Arabidopsis thaliana: one gene and its partner. The protein of the gene in region 1 interacts with the protein of each later gene in a pairwise test. Each region holds a gene or a part of one and is shown on either strand. Other genes may lie near its edges.

What was found. The genes of interacting proteins can lie anywhere in the genome.
Region 2: the proteins of AT1G72175 (region 1) and AT5G49770 interact in a protein complementation assay, tested with the Arabidopsis thaliana proteins (one large-scale study listed by BioGRID).

What each region holds. Positions count from the first base shown.
Region 1 is NC_003070.9:27,154,936-27,161,879, forward strand, and holds AT1G72175 (E3 ubiquitin-protein ligase RNF170-like protein (DUF 1232)), read left to right. Parts: upstream 1-2,939; 5' UTR 2,940-3,042; coding exon 3,043-3,133; exon of another isoform or gene 3,134-3,602; coding exon 3,603-3,802; intron 3,803-3,962; coding exon 3,963-4,064; intron 4,065-4,178; coding exon 4,179-4,230; intron 4,231-4,311; coding exon 4,312-4,424; 3' UTR 4,425-4,800; downstream 4,801-6,944. Other genes in the region: AT1G72160 (Sec14p-like phosphatidylinositol transfer family protein), read right to left, coding at 1-674; AT1G72170 (MICOS complex subunit, putative (DUF543)), read left to right, coding at 1,468-1,600, 1,820-1,980, 2,567-2,581.
Region 2 is NC_003076.8:20,219,306-20,229,264, forward strand, and holds AT5G49770 (Leucine-rich repeat protein kinase family protein), read left to right. Parts: upstream 1-3,363; 5' UTR 3,364-3,554; coding exon 3,555-3,648; intron 3,649-3,736; coding exon 3,737-3,860; intron 3,861-3,961; coding exon 3,962-4,033; intron 4,034-4,109; coding exon 4,110-4,184; intron 4,185-4,271; coding exon 4,272-4,343; intron 4,344-4,440; coding exon 4,441-4,605; intron 4,606-4,701; coding exon 4,702-4,776; intron 4,777-4,875; coding exon 4,876-4,947; intron 4,948-5,026; coding exon 5,027-5,098; intron 5,099-5,185; coding exon 5,186-5,254; intron 5,255-5,359; coding exon 5,360-5,434; intron 5,435-5,516; coding exon 5,517-5,588; intron 5,589-5,687; coding exon 5,688-5,822; intron 5,823-5,896; coding exon 5,897-6,375; intron 6,376-6,457; coding exon 6,458-6,610; intron 6,611-6,697; coding exon 6,698-6,834; intron 6,835-6,915; coding exon 6,916-7,135; intron 7,136-7,204; coding exon 7,205-7,440; intron 7,441-7,518; coding exon 7,519-7,962; 3' UTR 7,963-8,161; and 1 more. Other genes in the region: AT5G49760 (Leucine-rich repeat protein kinase family protein), read left to right, coding at 1-129, 220-375, 445-581, 671-890, 964-1,199, 1,274-1,747; AT5G49780 (Leucine-rich repeat protein kinase family protein), read left to right, coding at 9,510-9,597, 9,681-9,801, 9,879-9,950.

The sequences.
Region 1 (6,944 bases):
ACAGGGTGACCTTCTCGGTCATGTCCATGCATAAACACAACCTTGTCAAGATCATCCACAAGATCTTCCTCGACCAATTCATCGATCTTGAACTCCTTTCTCCACTTGATTGTGTTCTTGAGCATAGCAAACGAATCTTTCACCTTGAACTCCCTAGCTCTTAGGAATTTTAACAAAACGACGTCGCTTCTATCGTCTTCAAGTAATGGAATCCCCCAAATCTTGACTTCTTCTGGTGTGTTGGTGAATTGGTGATTGTCTAGAGCTTCTCGAACTAGATGTTTTAGTTCATCGAGTGATTTCTTCTCGGAATTAGATAGATCAGAAAGTTTGCTGCTTTCTTCTTTGAATGAACCAAGATTCTGTGGAATCATACTCTTTTTCTCTTCAGCTACTTCTTTCTGCGATGCTTCGTCTTTAACCTCTTGTTTCTCCGTCGATGCAGTTTCTGTTTCCGTCACTGTCGGTGGATGATGCTCTGCCGCGGTTTCTTCTTCTGGCTTGGTGGTGGTATCTGCAGTTTCCGGTGGATTAGTCTCAGTCACTTTCTCCAGAGTTTCTGTCTCTGTCGGTAGGGCATCTTGAGTAGATTCAGATACTTCAGAAGGCGTGAGGCTCGGAGAAGGTAGCTTTTCCGGTGTAACGAGAGTGGTAGTAGTAGGTTCTTCAGCCATTTTTTACTTGTGCCGTCTTGTTCTGTGATTGTTGTTCCTAAATTGGGCAAAAGTGAATTTTGGGTTTATAGAAAGAAAGAAAGAAAGTGGAGACAAAAAAATACGTTGAGACGTCGTCGTAAGTACAAAAGGGTATATTGGTAATGCCAATCGAACCGGTTTTTTTATTTTATTTTATTTTTGTTGTAAAAAGATTAATATATTTTCTCGTTTTAGCATCAATTCCAAATTATATATCAGGATTTTTGGTGTGACAAAAAAGACAAAACAATCGTGAAATTGGATCCAATGACATTTGAAGTATACATTTTTATCTTTCAATTTTGAATAATAATAAAAAAAAAAAAGTAAAAACAGAAGAGATCCACGTGAAAAATCATATGTTTGATTTTTTTATTCCTTTGTTTTTTGTTTCTTTTTTTGGCGTCCTGACACCTTCACTGCTCTACGAATCCAACCAACACTGTAAAAATTCTATTTTGTCTCAGTTAAAATTCTAATATAATCCAGTTGTTGGTTACAGTATTTTCCAAAACAATACTTTTAGAACCATATAACAATAATCTAAACCAAACAGAAAACTCAAAACTCGATCAGTTTTTTTTTTTGTTTTAAACAGCCTTAGTGGCCAATGTTTACGGCCCATCATAACAACATATTGGGCCTAAGTTAAGGCCACGTTTATTGTGGGCTCTATAGATCGGTAAAGTCAAGAAAAGGAAATCACGAACAACGGAAGAACAAAACTCTGAGCGAATCAATCAATCGGAAAAAGGAGATAGGTTTCGCGAAAATGGCGGAGAAAAAGGATAGTGTGCCACCGGAATACGATGTGAATGCTAAGTGGGACGCATGTCTCGATCTCACTGTCCGCCGCTTCGTTTACTCTTCCCTCGGCGGCGCATTTGCCGGTCTTCTGTTCTTCAGTTCGGTGTTTCTATATCTCCCTACTCGATTCTCGTTTTCTTATTACTTGCTTGTAGCTGTTTTATGATAGATGTGTAGTGTTATTACGAGAATCACTATGAATTAGGGTTTTAGAGTGTTTAATTTCTCCAATTTGAATCATATATTGTTCCAGTTCTTGAATTATTACTTGCCTTGAGATTGTTTTTGTGCATAATTTAGTTTCTGATTTTGTATAGGGAGTCCTGTTACAAGATGGGCATCGATTGCTTTAGGTGCTGGAATTGGTATTGGCTCTGCATATTCAGATTGTTCTCGTGCTTTTGATTCACCTTCTTCATCTTCAGCTAATTTAGCAGCTCCCAAGAATAATATTACAGAGACTTCTCCTGTATCTCAGGTTAGTTGGAATCTCTTTTGGTAAATGCATTTGTTTGGGGGAAGCAATGCATTAGTTTGGTACAAAATTGATACTAGGGAGAAGATGTTAAACTTTAGAAAGGTTATCGTTTAGCTGATGGATATAAGAAGTTAAGAACCAACTTCTTTGCAGATGATTAAAAGTAAATTGAGAAAGTTAAGCATGGCATTTGTTAAACTTTATAGTTCACTAGACATCTTGAGAATTGTCTTAAGATAACATATACATGTTTGTTAGCGTCGTAGTGATTGCTAATGAACTACGAATTGTTAAATAACGACTCATAGAGTACTAGATATCTATCCTTCTTTCATAGCATAGTTCCCTCTTGCAACTTCCATTGTTTGTAGTGTTCAATATAAGCAGAGTAACACAAGTAAAAAGCAGGAAAAAGTTATAATTGCAAATACGAGTGATGGTTAGTTCATGAGTGATCATTGTCTATGAGTACTAAAGATATATGTCGTTCGCCTGGTTTACCTCTGACGAATCGATCATCTTAAACCCATGAGAATGTAAAAGAACATAAGGTTGAATATTTTCTTTATTCTTCTTATTTTTGCAGGCTGCAGACGAGTAGACAATGTCGATAAAGTGGAAGTTAGTAACACATCCAATGATCGGGGTGTTCAGAAACAGAGCTATTATCATGCAATGCTTTGTTGAATTGTTTCCTAAACCTGCAAAGACAAGAGTCTATTGAGATAATGTCAAATGTAAAAACCTTTTTTTATTCGCTCTATCTCTCTCCCAGTGGTTTTGAACAAGTGAATACAAAAATGTTGCATCAATCACCCATTCTATTTTTTCAACCTCAACAAGGATCATCATGCCAACGACGTCGTTTTCATGTGTTGAAAATTTTCAAACCGGAAATAACCGAGAGGGTCCCACAAGAGCAATAATAATATTAAAAAAATATCGAACCAATCAGAGTTCCGATGGACCGCCATAGTCACCGACTAAAAAAACCAGCGACCACGTAAATCTTTGACGACGAGGAGGAGGAGGAGGAGAAGAATAAACGGAAGAAACTAAGAGATGAATAGTCCACCGGAGAACGATCTTTGTTCGATATGTCATTCCCACTTCACCGCTCCTTGTCAAGCCAATTGTTCCCATTGGTTCTGCGGTTTACCTCTCTCTATCTCTCTCAATCCTTTCGAGTCTTTGATTCGTTTCTCTTGTCTCTTCGCTAACTCTGTTCAATGAGATCGGAAATTTTTTGCCTGAATTTGTGCCCATTTGTTTTCCTTTTTGTCATTGACTGTTATTGCCTACGAGCCTCCTGAATCTTGATCGTTAGCTTTTGGTTAAAGATTAAATTTTGCCTTTAGAATCCAATCAGCATAAGTTTGTAATCTCAAAGTTCCAAACTTGAACAATTTTGTTTACCCTCTCTCTGCTTTCACTACCGATTACAGATTCTTGGATTTGGTTGAGTTCGGTGATTACTTGCTTAGAACATATAGATTTCTTGGCTTACTAGTTTTTTCAAGTCCACTGGTCTAATTACGAAGTTTGCGTGGTTTCATTGCAACGAAAGATTCTGCCTTTTCTGTGATCTGTCGCTCTAACTCTTCTTTTCACTTTGCTTTTAGGGAACTGCATTATGCTGGTGTGGAGGCATGGATCTACATTACAGCCATGTAAATGCCCTTTGTGTCGTCGTCATATTAGTTTGTTGGTTCCTTCAGAGGACACAATCAGAGACCGTAATGACGCTACAGTTAAGGAGGTTCTTGGTAATCTTGAAACTTACAACCGACTCTTTGGCGGGCGTTCAAGTAGTTTAGTTCAGGTATGTGTTCTATCTCTGTGTTTTAAGTTGCTTGTTTGGTCTTTTGTGGAAAAAGTGAATGTGTTTTAGTTTTTGAGATATATAAGACTTCCATGAATCCCCCCATAAGTAGGATTGTAATGTCAAATCGCTCATAAGGAAATTCTTATTCCCTTGGCAGAGGATGCAAGACCTGCCCTTCTTACTACGGAGGTTGTTGCGGGAAATGATGGATCCACAAAGAACGCTTCCACTTGTCATTAGGGCTCGGGTTTATATCGCAGTTAAGTTCGATGACATCTTGATCTCTCTGTTTATACATAGATTAGTCATGTTATGGGTAGTTACTGTTCCATTTGGTGTCAAACATGACGCAGTTTCTTTGTATTGGATGCAGATGATTCTCAGTGCTGTTTACATAATCAGTCCAATAGATATCATTCCAGAAGGTGATTTTTTTTTTAATCCTATGAATCTTTTCTTTGTCTCCCTGTCTTCTCACAAATCCTTTCTTAACTAATTTTTCTTAGGAGTTCTGGGGGTAGTCGGTTTGCTTGATGATCTACTCATAGCACTGATTTGTTTCCTCCATGTTGCTGCTCTGTACCGCTCGGTTCTCTATTTCCGTCATGCCGGTTCGTGAATCAATGAGTGTCTTTGACATTATACGTTGCAGTTCAAGAACTAGAGATGTGTGCTTACCTTTTCTTCTGTCTTTGATCCTTTCCCTTTACAAATACACAATTGTTCTGTTTAGCTAAGGAAAACTGAAATGTGTGATGATAAAGATCACAGCACAAAAAGCTTGGAAGTACATATCAATCATCTTCCTACCACTTCCTATACGCTAGTCTTTTTGACCCTTCCACTCAAATTTATCAATTATGGTTTCGACCGTTGACTCGAGAAACTCTGAGATGGGTCATGGTGATGGGAACAAAAACTTTACTTCAGTCTCTGTTCTCTCAGCTACAAATCAAATATTGAGTGGTCCTCTTCTGGAAACCTTGATAGGTCTTACTCTTACCTCAGTAGCTGCTGAATAGTCTTCACAGGTTTTTACGATCTTAGTATCCGTTTATTGGCCATAACCGATACGGTGTAGTAGATTTAAGAAGTTCTTTCGGAAGTCTCACACGCTAAAGGAATAACTTTGCAATTTACTCTAGTTTATCGATATTTCAAGAATCAAAAGATTACTACTCGATGTCTAGAAGTTTCCGCTATGTAGAAAACTTGGTTGTTTCAAAATGTCGTTTTGATGGTTTGGCCTAAAATTTAAAGTGGTTTATCCACTAGTAGTCTCTAAGTGTTGAACCGTAGAACAGATTTTCCATTTATAGAGAGACAATACAATGTGTCATAGATGAGTGGACCACAAGATAGAACCACAAAAAAAAATTTGTCTCAACATGGTCACACGTGCATAGTACACGTACAGCTTTCGTGGATTCTATTCACATGGTATCAATCAAAAACACATACGCGTGATAGACTCATCTTTTTCATGTGCATGTCCCGAAAGTGACGTTGCTCCACTGGAACTCACCGCCTAAAAATCCCATCTTCAAAACGTTTCTCTTGGCCCTCGATATAAATGCATTGGTTACCAAATTGTCGATATTATTGCTTCAATCATGATTCGGCTTCATTGGTATATCCGTATATATCCCTTGTCACGTAAGGCAAACACATAAAATATATGATAAAAACAAAAATTAATGGAGTTGAATTTAGTGTTACCTATAACGGGTATTAATTATACAAAAGTATGTAAATTAGTAAAATAGTGAATCGCCCATGAAGTTGCATAATCTTGTCTTGTAAACAAATGTATTGTAATGACGTGACGTTGTGTTAGTAGAGGTATGGAGACAGATATGCTCTTCTGATCAGTTTCTCGTCCGATCAATATTATTATCATTGTGGGACGGTCCTACTCGACAAATTATAGAGACACCCACGTTTACATTATTGTAAATATTTATATTTTTAGCTAACTTCGGGCCTACTGTCACTATTTGCTAGCTATATTTTCTTCAAAATGAAACCGTCATCTATATTCAATGTCCTGTTTCAAATAAGCTCAAAATATTTTGGTCAAAATTACCTTTACTTGATGGAATTTTGCAATGCTTGATACATTATGTTTATGCAATTTTATGGTGCATTATTATATGTATGTAAAGTATCTAATTTTTAAGTATACTCAACAACGAATAACTAAAACATAGATCATATCTAACACTAGTGTTTGTCTCTAGCGATAATAAAACTTTAAATTCTCTAATGTCTCTACCAATAGAATATTTTTGTGTGATATATATGTATATATAGAGCAAACAATGTGGAAAGCGACTGGGAAAATAAAGGAACCAAATGAGAAAGGGAAGGGATACAGCTGGGGAAGTCAACATCCAAATCAAAGATCTTTTGATTCTCACTCACATATCCCTTTATTAAACCGTATCTCTTCCCATTTAAACCGACACAAGAAAATTTATTAGGTATCACGGTTAATACTTTATTATTCAGTAGAAAGTATTAGTATTTAAACAACTAAAGAGAAGTTTTTTTTTTTTCTTGCAATAGCTAAAATTCCATTTTGTATACTCTTAAAAAAACTATGTTAGTATTATTGATTTTGGCCAAATGTATGGGGGGATTTTTTTTTTATAGTATTCTCATCTACTTTTTGTTTTTGTTATTGACTGTCTCTGATTTCTTTCTCGTGTATTGTCTCACTTTTTAAATCATTATCTTAGATTTTTCTTAATAAAATAAAGAAGCAACATACTATATACTATTCTAACATGTAGGATGATAACCTTGTAAGGGCCATAACTTTATGGAATTTCATTTGTAAGTTTGAATAATTACCAATCGAGTGAAGTGAGCATGAAAACAAAGTGATTCAGTGAAAGGGGTACATTTATAACCACATAATCATCATATACTAACCATTTCACTATCTATTACCGTTTCTAAATATTTTACTGTATTATGGTCCTTTAATTTGTGTTTTAACTTTTAGTGGCTAAACGATGCCATAGGACCCAAGGCCATCACACATTGATATCAATCAGAAAGAGAATAAGCAATTATAAGTTTTCATAATAAATATGTGATATAAAACTTGGAGATAAATCAGAATGGGATTCGG
Region 2 (9,959 bases), on another chromosome or scaffold:
TGGGAAGAGAGAGTTTTAATCAGACAGGAATGTCACTTGTTGGTTTTGCATTTAGCAACCAGACTTATAAGCCTCCTCCGATATTTGGCCCTTATATTTTCAAAGCTGATTTGTACAAACAGTTCTCTGGTATGATGAACCCTTGTCACACACACAATCAAACTAGAACTAAAGGTTGTTATTGATAACTCATTTGCTCTGCCTTTCTTTTTGTCACAGATGTAGAAGTTTCATCAAAGTCATCAAACAAAAGCATTCTCATTGGAGCAGTAGTTGGTGTTGTTGTTCTTCTACTATTGTTAACAATAGCTGGGATTTACGCTCTTAGGCAGAAGAAGAGAGCTGAAAGAGCAACTGGTCAAAATAATCCTTTTGGTAAGACAACAATATTTACTACTCCCTTGACTAAAATAGCATGAACAAATTTTCTTTGGCATGTTGCAGCTAAATGGGATACAAGTAAGAGTAGTATTGATGCTCCGCAGCTAATGGGAGCAAAAGCGTTTACTTTTGAGGAGCTGAAGAAATGCACTGACAACTTTTCAGAGGCAAATGATGTTGGCGGTGGAGGTTACGGCAAGGTTTGTGTCTTAACAAATGCCTTCAAATGAATGTAACAACTAATGGCCTTAGTTGAAATTCATGATCCCAAATTTTGATGGTTAAATAGGTTTATAGAGGGATTCTTCCTAATGGGCAACTCATAGCAATCAAAAGGGCTCAACAAGGATCTTTGCAAGGAGGGTTGGAGTTCAAAACTGAGATTGAGCTTCTCTCAAGGGTCCATCATAAGAATGTTGTCAGACTCTTGGGCTTCTGCTTTGACCGGAATGAACAAATGCTCGTATACGAGTACATTTCAAATGGGTCACTTAAAGACAGTCTGTCCGGTAAGATCAAACTTCTATCTTCCTCATGAGGATTTCAGATAGTTCTTGGATGCTGAATATGTTAGTAATGCAGGGAAGAGTGGGATTCGATTGGATTGGACAAGAAGACTTAAAATAGCACTTGGTTCAGGCAAGGGCTTGGCTTATCTTCATGAACTTGCTGATCCTCCAATTATACATAGAGACATCAAATCAAATAACATATTACTTGATGAAAATCTAACCGCAAAGGTTGCCGACTTCGGTCTCTCCAAACTTGTGGGAGACCCTGAGAAAACTCATGTCACAACACAAGTCAAAGGAACCATGGTGAGTAGAAAATTTATCCTCCTTTCTCTTTTTTTCTCAAATACATTTTAAACTTACAATATCTTTGTAATCAGGGCTACTTGGATCCAGAGTACTACATGACGAATCAATTAACGGAGAAGAGCGATGTGTATGGGTTTGGTGTGGTTTTACTCGAGCTATTAACCGGTAGAAGTCCGATAGAGAGAGGCAAATATGTGGTGAGAGAGGTGAAGACAAAGATGAATAAATCTCGGAGTTTGTATGACCTGCAGGAGTTGTTGGACACAACGATCATAGCAAGCAGTGGGAATCTAAAAGGGTTCGAGAAGTATGTAGACTTGGCTTTGAGATGTGTGGAGGAGGAAGGAGTTAATAGGCCATCAATGGGTGAGGTTGTGAAAGAGATTGAGAACATAATGCAGCTTGCGGGATTAAATCCTAACTCAGATTCAGCAACGAGTTCAAGAACGTATGAGGACGCAATCAAAGGATCTGGTGATCCTTATGGCAGTGAATCGTTTCAGTACAGTGGGAATTTTCCAGCTTCAAAGCTTGAGCCCCAATGATTGATTATGTTTCTTTTTGTTATTTTGTTATTTCGTAAGTGACTTCATACTTGAAATGCCTTGTGAATGTGGAGTAGCATGATTCTGTTTGATATGTGGTCGCTGATTATAAAGCAGATGAATGGAGAGCCAAACGCAGAATCAAAAACCACCAGATCTTTGGCAATGTCGACACCAGTTTCAAACATAAGAAAAGTAATCAAGCTCAATGTATGATGAATAATTGAATATATTAATTCTTGTTGAGAAGTTTGTGTGGTTTCAAAGATTTAATCCACACATCACACACACTTTTAATTTACTCCAAACCTTTCACATTTATGCATGAGATTATATTACAAATTTATATTACAAATAATTTGTAGTACGTAAGTAAAATTAGTATTAACTAATAAGAAAAAAAAGTAATAAAGTTATTGGGTTTGCAACCTAACACATCAACGATCCCATCGAACAACAACAGTTACATGACCCAGGGTGAATTTATGGTTGTCGTCTCATCTGAGAGCACTCTCTGATCTAGTGTCCTTGTTGTCCACACCTCAAACACGCCCCCAAAATGTATGACATGATTTAACAAAAAATAAAAAGAAACATGATTTAAGACATGTGGTGTGTGGCAACTCTGCCATATATTTCATGGTGAGGTAGCGAACCGGCACCAAGTTTTTCTCGATATGTTTCCTCCATTTACCATTCTTTACGGTAGACTACGGTAGACTCATAACTTTTTTTATACCGGAGTCATATCGTATTAGTTTCTTAAGAGGATTAAAGCACACATATGTTTTTGTGTCTTATTTACTACAAAAAGTCTTTTTACTAAAACACTAACAAAACAAAAATAACATACAAAAAAAATAAGAAAAGTGGTGGGATGTGGCCAAATAGCATTAGCATACATACGTAGGAAAAAAATAGACGATGTGGTCATATGTCAGAGTGGTCAAGGTCCCATCCCATCTCTGAGTTTTCCGTCGGTTTGGAGTATATTGATCGGAGAATATGATATGGGCAAAAAAAAAAAATCGATTAATTTTTAATCAATTTGGGGTACACTGAAAACAAAAAATATTTTTTTTATTAATTTACTTGGAGGAAGTACTGGTCAATATAACATCAAACCATCAGCATCATTCATTGTTGTTGCAATTAGTATTATTATCTCAAGTTGATAAAAGCTTGTGCTGATTTTTTCCATGACCATGACTTTATTGCATGTTGCTGTTAGAAAAACCATATCAGTGCATAGTCGCTTACCATTACTCTATTTCAAAAATCTCTCTTTTCTTGAGAAGAAACGTTCTAGGAAAACAAATAATATATACATGACTTCTCCCAGTTTTGTGCAGAAACAATTAAATGTTAGATCATTTAGTTAAGTTTTGTTACATATTGCATATTTATGCTTTATCATGTAAACAGATTTATTTATGTAGTTAATAAAGGACTAGTCTATTATAATGGTGTTTTGTGCCAAGTCATTGTTCATAATTTGTTCCTCCACATTACCGTATTGACATTTCAATTTCTCCCTTGGATAATACCTTTGAACCCTTCCGCAATATATAGCGGTTCTTTATTATCTATATCAAGTTGAACTATTTGTTTATATGGTCCACTGTCTATTTGTTTGCTTTATTTATAAATTTTCGCTTAACTTGTTCAAAGTCTTCTCCTTTATGTCTTACATGCTTTGTTAGCAAAGAACATGGAGGCTGCATTTTTATGTTAGAGTTCGTCATAACTTGTGCAGACCACATGCTTTCTTCTTGAACGAATTGTGATACATATCATTGTGTGTCTGATGAAGATGAGTTCAAGAATTGGATTATTTAAGCTCTTGATCTTGCTTTTCTTCCAAATTTACTCTGTTTATGCGTTCACAGATGGTTCAGATTGTAAGTATAAGTAGATGATGATCAGAGTTCTTTTAACAGATAAAGATTTCCAATTTTTTGTATTTTAATTCTTTCAATATTGGTGCAGTTACTGCTTTACAAGCCCTGAAGAACGAATGGGACACGTTATCCAAGAGTTGGAAAAGCTCTGATCCTTGTGGAACCGAATGGGTTGGAATTACATGTAACAACGATAACCGTGTTGTTTCAATGTAACACCTTGGTCCCTTTCTTTGTTTGTTCTTTTGCTGCTTCTTTCTTCAATATAATCCTCTATATACAGACTTTAAGCTGTGTTATTTGCTTGTTTCAGATCATTAACCAACCGTAACTTGAAAGGAAAGCTTCCTACCGAAATTTCGACATTGTCTGAATTGCAAACCTTGTAGGTCTTTCTTCTTCTTCTTTTTCCTTTGCATAAAAATGGATTTAGTTCTCATCTTATGATTCGATGTTTGCAGGGATTTGACTGGCAATCCTGAATTGTCTGGACCGCTTCCAGCAAATATCGGTAACCTCAGGAAGTTGACTTTCTTGTAAGCAAAGTAAACAAGATCTTAACCTAATTCCATCAATCGCATTATCTTATATATCGCCTTTTCTTTTGTTGTTTTCTTCTCTAGGAGCCTTATGGGATGTGCTTTTAATGGTCCAATCCCTGATTCCATAGGGAATCTTGAACAACTTACAAGACTGTAAGATTTGTTGCTTCTTATAATTTATAAACAGTCACTTTTTCAATGTAATCTTTAAAACTCATAATAAGTATTACTTTGCGTTTCCTCCATACAGCTCTCTGAATTTAAATAAATTTAGTGGAACAATTCCGGCTTCCATGGGACGGTTATCGAAACTATATTGGTTCGACATAGCTGACAATCAGTTAGAAGGAAAGCTTCCAGTTTCTGATGGGGCTTCTTTACCTGGACTTGACATGCTTCTTCAAACTGGGCATTTGTATATATAATCCCAAATCCTTAGTTTTCATTTTTATTTAGTTACTCTTTATATATAACATTCATCACTCTGACTCTCTTTTACTTTCTTTTGTAGTCATTTTGGTAATAACAAGCTTTCAGGCGAAATCCCAGAGAAGCTCTTTAGCTCAGAAATGACTTTGCTACATGTGTAAGTTTCATAGTACATGCAAAAGCTGAGAGTTTTCACTAGTTGATATTAGAAACTAACAAAGTGATGATTGCATTTTTGTTCTTGTTTTATCAATAGGCTGTTTGATGGAAACCAATTCACCGGTAGCATCCCAGAGAGCCTCGGCCTAGTTCAAAATTTGACTGTGTTGTAAGTAGTAGAAATATATTTTCCAAACTGTATGTTCACAAAATTTCTTTAATCTTATAAGATATTTGCTTTGTTACAGACGTCTTGATAGGAATAGACTAAGTGGAGACATTCCTTCAAGTCTTAATAATCTCACAAATCTTCAAGAACTGTAAGTGAGCAAATAAAGATTTGTTCTGTTTTCTTAAGATATATAAATGAAAAGATGTAAAAGATCTTGTAGTTGAATCCATTTCAGGCATTTGTCCGACAACAAATTTACAGGTAGTCTTCCAAATTTGACCAGCTTGACCAGTCTCTACACATTGTAAGTTTCAATATTTTTCTTCCTCGTTTGTTGCTCAAATTTAGCATCAGAAACCTTTCTTATTAATAATCAATCTAATGCCATGATATGATTATTATGTAACAGGGATGTGAGCAATAACCCGTTGGCGTTATCACCGGTTCCATCATGGATCCCTTTCTTAAACTCTTTGTCAACATTGTATGAGCATTCCTCTCTCTTTTTAGATATATATAGATTTGTGAGCATACATAATGAGAAAAAATGGTCTTCAACTTGGCAGAAGGTTGGAAGATATCCAACTTGATGGTCCAGTACCAACCTCCCTTTTTAGCCCTCTTCAATTGCAAACTGTGTGAGTCAAATAAGTCATGATCATGAATGTTCAATTGGAAAGTCAACTCAAAGATTTGTGAAACATGTACTGATTGGGATGGTTTTTCTTGACTTGCAGTTCCCTAAAGCACAATCTTATAAACACAACATTGGACCTTGGTACCAACTATAGCAAACAATTGGATTTTGTGGATTTACGAGACAACTTCATAACTGGTTATAAATCACCAGCTAATAACCCCGTCAATGTAATGTATGTATTCATCTTTGACCAATATGTAACATCTTTGAAGAATAACTTACGTATGTGTGTTGATATATCCATAGGTTGGCAGATAATCAAGTGTGCCAAGACCCGGCGAATCAGCTGAGTGGCTACTGCAATGCAGTCCAACCAAATTCCACATTTTCTACCCTAACAAAATGTGGTAATCATTGTGGTAAAGGTAAGGAACCGAATCAAGGCTGCCACTGTGTGTATCCACTTACAGGAGTATTCACCTTAAGGTCTCCTTCATTCTCCGGATTTTCAAACAACAGTAACTTCCTAAAGTTTGGGGAGAGTTTAATGACTTTCTTTAAGAATGGCAAGTATCCTGTAGACTCTGTGGCCATGAGAAACATAAGCGAGAATCCAACTGATTATCATCTTTTGATAAATCTCTTGATCTTTCCATCGGGACGCGACCGCTTTAATCAGACGGAAATGGACTCTATTAATTCTGCATTTACCATTCAGGATTATAAGCCTCCTCCAAGATTTGGTCCTTATATTTTCGTCGCCGATCAGTACAAAACATTCTCTGGTATGATGAAACGTAACACACACTCAAACGAAATCTATATTGATTTAACTCATTTTACTTATAAGCCTTGTTTGTTTCACAGATTTAGAAGATTCCAAGACAGTAAGTATGAAAGTTATAATTGGAGTAGTAGTTGGTGTTGTAGTTCTTCTGTTGCTGTTGGCTTTAGCTGGGATTTACGCTCTTAGACAGAAGAAGAGAGCTCAGAGAGCAACTGATCAAATGAATCCTTTTGGTAAAAGAAAAATGGTTTAACACTAGAACAAAAGACTTTTCTCTTGTCTTATGAAAATCCTGACAGCTTCTCGTTTGTCTGTTGTAGCCAAGTGGGATGCGGGGAAGAATGAAATGGATGCTCCACAACTAATGGGAACAAAAGCCTTTACTTTCGAAGAGCTTAGCAAATGTACTAACAACTTTTCAGATGCAAATGATGTTGGCGGTGGAGGTTATGGCCAGGTTTGTGTATTTCCAATGTCCTCAACTGAAACAACCAGAGGTAGTAGTTCAAATTATAATACCAATTTGATGGTGAAACAGGTCTACAAAGGTACCCTTCCCAATGGGCAAGTCATAGCAATCAAAAGAGCTCAACAAGGATCCATGCAAGGAGCGTTCGAGTTTAAGACCGAGATTGAGCTTCTTTCAAGGGTCCATCATAAAAATGTTGTTAAGCTTTTGGGCTTCTGTTTTGATCAAAAAGAACAAATGCTCGTATACGAGTACATACCTAATGGGTCCCTTAGAGACGGTCTATCAGGTATATATTTAATCTCTATATATCTTGCTTTGTTAGTTCTTTGGTGCTGAACTTGAAAAACAAATGTAGGGAAGAATGGGGTTAAACTGGATTGGACAAGAAGGCTCAAAATAGCACTTGGCTCAGGGAAGGGTCTAGCTTATCTTCATGAGCTTGCTGATCCTCCAATTATACATAGAGACGTCAAATCAAATAACATATTACTTGATGAACATCTAACCGCAAAGGTTGCTGATTTCGGTCTCTCCAAACTTGTGGGGGACCCTGAAAAAGCTCATGTCACAACACAAGTGAAAGGAACCATGGTGAGTAAAAAAGAATCTATCATAAAATATATGAAACCATTAACTATAAAAACTAACAATATCTCTGGAATTAATTAGGGCTATCTTGATCCTGAGTACTACATGACGAATCAATTGACGGAGAAGAGCGATGTGTATGGGTTTGGTGTGGTGATGCTTGAGTTATTAACCGGTAAAAGTCCGATAGATAGAGGCAGCTATGTTGTGAAAGAGGTAAAGAAGAAGATGGATAAATCGAGGAACTTGTATGACTTACAAGAATTGTTGGACACGACAATTATCCAAAACAGCGGGAATTTGAAAGGGTTCGAGAAGTATGTAGATGTGGCTCTACAATGCGTGGAGCCAGAGGGAGTTAATAGGCCAACAATGAGTGAGGTGGTGCAAGAACTTGAGAGCATATTGCGGCTTGTTGGATTAAACCCTAACGCCGATTCAGCAACATACGAGGAAGCATCTGGTGATCCTTATGGTAGGGATTCGTTTGAGTACACTGGGGTTTTCCCAACTCCAAAACCCTAACGCAATAATTGATTAATTTGTTCTTTCTCAGTTTTTTATTGTTTTGTTTTTTGGTTATTTTGTAAGTGACTTTACAACCTTAAATGCCGTGTGAATGTGTGTGTACTAGCATGATTTGATTTTTGATATATGTTGTTTTGTGGTCGCTGCTTATAAAGTGTAAACAAGATTGGAATCAAAATAAACATCAACCCTAAGCAACCCTAAGTTGTCATGATACTAAATAAATCTAATCACCGGATTTTGAATATACTCTCTTTGAGGTTGTCTCAGCAGTCCGGTTGTCATGTCTCTACGGGTATCCCCACGCACATATACTGTGCCAAGCAAGGATGCTAGTGTGTCCTTCTTGAATCCGCGAACGGATGATCTTTCTCTATTCTCATGTTGTAGTTATGATTTTCTTAACTTCGTTCGTAATCAAGTGAATACTTTCAATAACAGACTTGTATACACACTTTTTGGTTTTTTACGGTTTACTATTACAGTATTAATCGATTTTCTACCATAAAATTAAACTGTTTATCTAGTAATTAAAAAAAAACTGACACAATATGAAAATAAAAATGGTCACAAAAAATAGAATTTCTTTAGTAAAATGAAAAAAAATCACTTAATTTGAAAATTTTTTTTTAAGAGAAAATATAGTGAATTGTTTAATCTATAATCATTTGAATTGCAAGAAACAAAAAACAAAGAAAACAAAAACCTATATTTTATTTGGAACGGAGTACTGGTCAATATATCATCAAAATATCAGCATCGTCGGTACTGCAATTAGTATATTATCTCAAGTTGGTAAAAGCTTACGCTGATTGTTTCCAGGACTTTGACCATGTTGTTGTTAGAAAACTATTTCGCTGACCTGAACCGTCTTGGGCAAGCCAATCATATCTAACGTTTTTAGTTTGTAGATTTCGTTTTTCTTTAAATGTTTGAATCATTAATGAGCGTTTTAATACATCATATTTAAAATGAGACACTAGTTTCTCATCACAATAACTGATCATCACGTTGGTTCCGTTTTGATTCAATATTTCGGGTCGATTTGATCCAAAAAAATATCCAAATATTGGAGTTAAAGCAGAGCAAACAAAATTACCCTTTTTTTTTTTTTTTGGACAAAACAAAAAAAATTACCTTCCTTTCAAAATAACTACTCCCTCTGTTTCAAAATAAATAGATTTCAAATTTCTAATAATCTTATATTCATAATTGGTTCTTTCCCATTAACCCTAGTGGCATTTCCATCTAACCACATTTTCCGAACCTTCCATTAATAGCATTCTCATATTTTATCAAGTGGAACTAGTCTTTAAATGATCCACTGCCAATTTCTATTATTTATATGTTTACTTTTACATTATTCAAAGTCTTCTCCTTCTTGTTTAACAATATTATGTAAATGTTTTGTTAGCGAGGAAGCTGTATTTTTGTATTCAAGACTATGTCATAACGTGTGCAAATCACATGCTTTCTCATTGAATGACTTTCCGATACAGTCAGAAGCAGGGAAAGAGAAAAAGAGATTCTTTGTGGGTCTCAAGATGAGTTCAAGAATTGAAGTCTTTGTGCTCTTGATCTTGCTTTCGTTCCAATTTTGTTCTGTATCTGCGCAGACAAATGGTTTCGATGGTAATTTATAGTTTGATGATGATCAGAGTTTTTCAGATACAGGAATTTCAAAGTCGTTTGAATGAGTTTCAAAATTGTTGCAGCTGATGCTTTACAATACCTGAAGAGTAGTTTGACCATACCTCCTCGGAATTGGAAAGGCTATGATCCTTGTGGAACCAATTGGGTTGGAATTGCATGTGAATATGGCCGCGTTGTTAACATGTAAGTATCTTTTTTTTTTTGCTGCTTCTTCCAATAATCATCTGCAGACTATAAAGTTGAGTTGTTGCTTGTCGCAGATCACTAGGCAACCTTAACTTGGAAGGAAAGCTTCCTGCCTTTATTACGACGTTGTCTGAATTGCATACCCTGTAGGTCTT